Cricetulus griseus: one gene and its partner. The protein of the gene in region 2 purifies or fractionates together with the protein of the main gene of each other region. This does not show direct contact. Links are inferred from orthologs where the notes say so. Each region holds a gene or a part of one and is shown on either strand. Other genes may lie near its edges.

Region 1 (3,274 bases), on a different chromosome or scaffold from region 2:
AAGAGATAACAAATGATATACATGGAACCAAATGTCCTTCACCTCTGTAATGGAAACTCTGAGTCTACAGACATGGATCAGCTGAGCTGTAGACACTAAAGTACCACCAAGGCTTGTAATGGTGAGCAGCCAGGCAAAGCAATTGCAAAAGTAAGCCTCTTGGGAGGGGTATTAAACCTAAGACAATAGTGGGGCCTGAGAGTTGGCTCAGAGAGTAGAAAGTGCAAGCCTGACATCTGAGTTCAACTCCCGAATCCCACAGCAGAAGGAGAGAACCAACTCCTGAAAGTTGTTCTCTCGTTGCCACAAGTGCACCACACACAACCAACACTCACCCCTCCCTTCCTCTCTCATTGTCCCTTCCATCAAAGCTTTGCCTGCATTTATTTATTAATTTATTTATTAATTAATTTATTTATTTATTTATCTGGGCTTATAAAAGTTGCCTTGATCATGGTGTCTCTTCACAGCAATAGAAAATCTAACTAAGACACATATAAAATACATAAATCGTTTTTTTAGATTTTTTTTAAAGATTTGTTTACTTTATATATATGGTATTGTATCTTCATGTTTGCTGCACGCCAAAAGACAGCATCAGATCCTATTACAGATGGCTGTGAGCTACCATGTGGTTGCTAACAATTGAACTCAGGACCTCTGGAAGAGCTGCCAATGCTCTTAACCTCTGTGTCATCCTTCCAGACCATAAATAAATCTTAAAAACAAATAAGCAAAACAAACAAACAAACAAAAACCTTTGCAATAGAAAGATGGCAAGTCTCGGTCATAAGCAAGGAGAGTGACTTAAAACAAATACCTGTTGCCTGTTTCTTTTTCAGGAGTGATGCACAGGCTGCATTGGTGGCCATGTCCAAGGCCAGCTTCTTCTCATTGTTTCTCAAGTCTGTCCTCGCACCTTCCCAACACAAGAAAAGGAAACCATGTATCTTCGAAGACTGGAATGCGCTAGCCAATGCTTTGTCAAAGCTAGAGAACAATTCTGGCTAAGAATTAATGTGACTGGCACACTTCATCAGAGAGCCTGCCACAGTGCCATTAAAGCTGCCCTTCCCTTCCCAGCTCCCAGGGATTGCACGTGGACTTTTCAATGAGGCCATTACAGGTCCTGGGTAAATCCTAAAACACAGCCATAAACAACCATGGCCTGAAAGGTTATGCAGCTCTTAGCAGAAAGCTTTGGGGCTTCCATCTAGCACCCTTTGCCTCTCCTTCAGTTCATGAGGGCCTGTAGAAAACACTATTGGGTTGAATGTCAGGGGACTAATATTTCTTATATGCAGGTGCATTCATATGTCAATCAGAAGAATGGCAAAACAATAAAAACTCATAGGCAATTCATTGTTCCCCAATTCATTGTCCCTGTAAGCCCTCTTCCATTCATCTTCCCCCTTGTCTTTATGCCAAAACTTACATCAGAATCCATGGAGATGTTTGTTTGCATTGTTGAGGAACAAAAAATACAGAGGCGTGCTCAACAGTGCTGATGGGATTCCCCTGAACTAAGCTCTTCGAAGGTGACCATTCTTCCAGTGGGCCCCAGCTGTCTCTCTTATGTTTGCCAATGATCTGCACTCATATGAACATGTACACAAAGCAACCTACTTGTGCTGCTGTGTAATGTAATTTTTTTAAATTCCATTCCCTTTGTATGTATGTCTGTGGGCACCTGTATCATGCTACACATAGAAGCCCAGAGTTGATGTTCTCCTTCTACCATATGGGTCCCAGGAACTGAATTCAAGTCCCCAGGCTTGTGGCAGGCACCTTTCCCTGCTCAGCCATCTCACCAGCCTTATAACTTCACTTTTAACTTAACCGTATTTAAATAATGGTTCGTTCTTGTTAAGGTACGCACAAAACTCAACGTATCTGAACATTTATAGGTATTGCATTTTGTGGATGTTGTAAAACTTATTTCATCCCAGCTTTACTGACAGGAATCAGTTCTTTCTGATTTCCATCATTTCTAACAGTATAATGAGCACTATTCCCCCAACAACTTGTTCACAGGTTCACTTAAAGTGTTCACTAGAATGAAAAGAAAACATTAAGTGGCTCAGCAGCACACAGCTCGTGTCTGCCACAATGGACAGCATAGCCTTCGGCATGACCTTTAGGAAAACCCAGCAACTCCCCACAGTAAGGGGTTTGCATCATCATCTCACTTAATCCAAAAACATCCATGCTCATAAATTCCACAACACTGCTCCCAAAGATTCCTAAAGATAGAATCTATAACTTGTGGCTTGGAGAAAGGCTTCACAGAATTGCCCTCTGGGCCAAGTCCCTGAGTGACATGCCTGGCCAGCCCTCTGTAAGAGCAGTTAATATTTATGGGACAAGCAGATAAATGGATGAGCAGTCCCAGATTTAGCTGTTTGCTCTGAACCACACTGTGGTGATATATTATTTATGATTTAATAAGGTTTGCTTGAGAGTTCAGGATGCAGAGTCAGCCACAAGCTATCGAGGTCAAGCAATGGGATCAAAGCATCCTTCATTAACACCTCAGCACTGGCTCAGCTTAGCATTCATTTCTACTCTCTATTAAGGCTCTCCCAAGCAAGCACAAGCCTCACCAACTTCATCCCAATTTTCCCAGGACACGATGTCCTAAAAAACCCCGGCCTCCTAAAATCCTTCAGTCCTACAGATATGCACAGCAAGTTCCTTCTAAAATTAATACATTTGTATGTACTTTTAAAGTTTATCAGGTCTTTTTTTTTTTTTTTTGGTTTTTTTGAGACAGGGGCTCTCTGTATAGCTTTGGAGCTAAAGTTTATCAAGGTCTTAATTCACAGTAAAAAGTACCATAAATGCACCCCCAATAATTTCATCTCAGTTATAACAGTGTACTATAGACGGAGTAGAGGAGGAGGAGACTCAGCCTTCCTACTATTTCAAATGGCCTCCTTCACTAGGAGCTATTTTTCAAGGCAAACAACCAAATAAATTCAATAAAAACTTTACCTTTTGCCAGTAGCAACTGCACAATGTCTGCATAACCCTTCCAGGCAGCTGCATGCAGAGCTGTGTCTCCCAGCTTGTTCTATGGTGAAAGAAAGGGAAAATAGTATTATAAAAATACAAAGTGGACTGGATGAAGACAGTAGTATGTTTAACCCATGTAAATCAAATTGAGAGAAAAGCTCCAGAACCATGTGGCATTCCAAAGGAAAGAGGAACAAGCAATGAGAAGAGCTGCTCTGGCAGGGATGGGGGAAGAAAACTAACATGGCAGAGCAAGGCC
Region 2 (3,825 bases):
GAGAAACCCTGTCTCGAAAAACCAAAAAAAGAAAGAAACTTTGTTTCCATCCACCTTTCCACCTTTCCATTTTGCTCTTACAGACTTGCTTGTGGCCACTGGTTCCAGCCCATTTGGTGGCTGAGCAATGGGAGCTGCAGACCAGTCCTCAGGAGTCCACAGGGAACTGCTGGACAGACACAGAGGGCACTTCCACGCCTTCAGACCACTGACTCAGGAGCTGGCAAAGTCCATTCTCCCTTGGTCAAAACCTTTTCAGAAAGCACCTTCTCCATCTTCCCAGGGACTCTGCAGAAGCAGAGCTTACGCATGACCTCCAGTGGGCACCCGTGGGAGATGGTGCCACACATACTGAGACCTTACAGGTCAGCATCTACATCAGACCCACTAGGTGAGTTCCCCATTGTTGCACAGGATGGTAATGTCCCCAAAGCACAGAACAGAATCTGTGTTACACAGAGCTATGGTAGCCAGGTTGACATAAGATGCCTCTGTGAGGGGCTGAAGGCCATTCCTGGGTTAAGCCACCATTAGAAGCCATTGCTCTCTGAAGGTTGCTTGAATCTCATTTGTGAATGTTCCAGGCATGAAGCAACCAGCAACTGGAGTGGCTCCAGTGGCAGCCAAACATCAGTGCAGCTCACTGGCCAGTGTTCCTAGAGGTGATGTTGATCTCAGCAGAATTCTCAGTGACAACAAAGGCTTGAGCTGGCAGCAATAGCTTCTCCTAGGTCCTCTTCAGGCTCTTGAAGTAGATGCCATCTCTGTCCCTTTTGTAGATAGGTCAAGAGTGGTGCCACCTAAGAATGTTCCTATGGCAAGGAATGTGAGGACTCCCTTTTCCAACATTTGCAGGACATCAAGGGCTCCAGATGTTAAGTGAGTTTCCCTTTACATTACAATAGGAATCAAGAACAAAGCCACAGGGTTCCCTCCCTGAAAAGTAGGGGAAAGTTCCTCCTAGACTTCTTAGTCTCCAATTGTTTCAGTGATTCAGGGTAATTAGCCACCTTTAAAAATGGAGCCAGCATGGAAAATCCTCTTGGTTTTGTCCCAAGGGCAAAGTATCATAGAAGTAGATTGTTCTATTCTTGCTGATCAGAAATAGCTATTCCAGGCCAGCACCAATATGGCTGCTTCACCCTTCTAACGGTGTTGAAGCCAGACATACGGAGGGCACTTGGGGGAAGGAAACATAATGACAGAAGGGAGAGACAAAGATGAAAGAAGAGAAGCCCTTTTGAGAAAACAATAGTCAAGTTATAAACCAGACTCAACAGTTCTAAAGGAGCCGATGCTAAGCACTCTAACATCACTCTGGTTTGCACGTTGAAACAATACCATCACTGGTTTGTGATGACATGGGGCTGGAGAGGTTAAGAGCATTGGCTGCTCTTCTGGAGGACCTGGGTTCAATTCCTAGCACCCACGTGGTAGCTCACAGACCATCTATAACTCCAGTTCCAGGGGATCTGAGGCCCTCTTCTGTCTTCTGTGTGTACCAGGCATACATGGTACACAGATATACAAGCAGACAAACACCCATACACTTCAAAACAAAACAATAATAACCACAACCCAAGTATACTGCATGCCAGATAAAGCAGATAAAGGGTTCTTTCTTACAGCTCACTGCTCTGCATGAGCTCAATCAGGTCCATGAAAAGCACGTCCCGGTTCCTTTCACAGAAGCCATCCATGTCATAGGAAACCTGGCCAAGAACAGAAAGCAATCAACTTTTATCCTACACATTTCTTTGGTTAAAAGCACCCTTAAGTGGGCACGGCTATCCTCATCGAAGGTGGGCGTTCCTAGTTGCAGCCTTTGAGGTTTCACACTTATGTTGTCACATAAAAGCTGTCAGCTGGCTTCGATGACCCTGACCTAATGGTGGGTGATGAAGATCTGGCTCCCCAGATGATCTGTGAGACTACAGCTCTCAAGAACCCATGTCCATTTGTCTGTGGGCCCCCTAAGCATGTCTGAGAAATACATGAAGTTATTTTTCCTAAGTTCTGACCATGTGAAGAAAAAGAGAGCCCTCGTTCTCACTCATCAAGTATGTCAACTGAGTCGTGAATCGTTCTTAGAAGCCGCATCAGAGCTGTGCCCATCTGCCCTGGACTCGATGCTCAGGGACCATGGTGAACAAGAGACTAGCCGGGAGGAAAGATCTTATCTGTGGAGTTCCATAGGACCAGGAAGCATCCGAGAGCCATGACCCCAAATTCTGTTAGGACCTTACATGGTTGTGTACCCTGCAGGCACCTAGTTACTCACTTTGTAGGGAAAACATTAAAGTTAGTCCCGGTGCCCGTGGGAAAGCAAAGGAATGCAAGTTTGTGATTGCAACTGTCAAGACAAAAGTCTATTGCTTCAGCAGTTGCGATCCACACCACGGAGATTTGTGCTTTATAAAAGCAAGCAGCCCCGTAGACAGGGCTTTGTTTTAACTCTTCAAATTCTTTAAAGGTCCTGTTTGTTGGACGAATAAATAACATGGGTCTCTATTGGTTCATAGGAAAACAAATCCCACCGTTAAAGGCTCAAACTGGAGAGCCTTTAAAATGGGTGGATTCTGGCCCACTGAACTGTGGTCTCGGGCTTTACCTTCCCGGCGTAGTGGTGAATGATGAAGCCTTGGTTCCAGCTGTTGAAGTGCTCATGGCTCCCGATCTGCATCTGGAGCTTCTGCAGCAGTGTCTGGTCAGCACCTTCACCCACAGCATGCATGGTGGCACACACGTCATCCAGGATGCTCATGATTCCAGGAGGGTGCTGGTGGGAACAAGAAGGCAAGGCCCAGGTCACTGACCCCTCAAAATACTGAACACCTATGGGGTCACTTCTTAAGCCAGGAGACTGCCTCCAAGACCCAGATACCATCTTGATCATCAGCTGTTCCTTCCAGGAAGGATGCACTGAGCATTCCCAGAGAAGGTTTTATCATTCAGACCTAAAGATGAAGGAAACTCATTTCCAAGAAGCTAGCTAGCTCTCTAGAGAGCTTTATCTTTATTTATTTGTTTGGTGTATGTGTGTACTCATGTTCCTGTGTATGATGGGGCTAAGGTGTGACCCTTTTTATGCCCCCCCCATTTGCTATGTCATATAACCAAGAGCTAGTTTCTAGAATTCAGGAACAACTTCCATTTGCAAGTTGGCATGTTATACACATCCTTATTTATTGTGGTAATAAAAGCCTATTATTTTATTTTCTTGCTGCACATTTGCACATTACTAGTGTTACTGTTGACATTCTGTACAAGGGTAGTTTCCTAGTCAGCTGAAAAGCAATTGACACCAGGCACAGAGGATGAAATCTCATTGAAGGGTAGACCAGTGAGGGGAACCACGGGCTAGTACTTACAACTTTGCTCTCTATGAGGTCACACACAATTTTATTATTGAAGTATTCAATGGGCGTCCATCTTATTCCCTCCTGAACGTATTCTTCCTGGGTGACAGAAATTGGAAGCTTGCATAAACCACCATGAAAGAGAACCTGCGTCCCTCTCACATACACTAAGAACTTTTCCATCACGAGAGGTGATATGAACAGAACATCTCATAACTTAATGGTTTTTATGTTTCGTTTGTGCAGTAAAAACTGATACCATACAACTGTTACTTGTTGTCATTAGAGACAGGATCTCATGTGTCCCAGGCTGGCCTTGAACTCATTATATATCCAAGGATGACCTTGAACTCCTGATCCTCCTGAGTCCATGTGGTGGTTTGAATAGGAATGGCCCTAACAGACTGGTGTTGGTGGAACTGTTTGTGAAGGATTAGGAAGTGTGGCTTTATTGGAGGAGGTGTGT

What was found.
Region 1: the proteins of Myo1e (region 2) and Ostf1 purify together in Homo sapiens (co-immunoprecipitation; 3 studies listed by BioGRID and IntAct, counting the BioPlex papers as one, with this or other methods). This does not show direct contact. The link is inferred for Cricetulus griseus from reciprocal best matches to the Homo sapiens genes MYO1E and OSTF1.

The regions. Positions count from the first base shown.
Region 1 is NC_048596.1:42,591,005-42,594,278, reverse strand, and holds part of Ostf1 (osteoclast-stimulating factor 1), read right to left. Parts: intron 3,074-3,274; coding exon 2,995-3,073; intron 920-2,994; coding exon 821-919; intron 1-820.
Region 2 is NC_048597.1:181,889,229-181,893,053, reverse strand, and holds part of Myo1e (unconventional myosin-Ie), read right to left. Parts: intron 3,459-3,825; coding exon 3,372-3,458; intron 2,780-3,371; coding exon 2,612-2,779; intron 1,713-2,611; coding exon 1,627-1,712; intron 1-1,626. UniProt on the Homo sapiens protein: Actin-based motor molecule with ATPase activity. Unconventional myosins serve in intracellular movements. Their highly divergent tails bind to membranous compartments, which are then moved relative to actin filaments.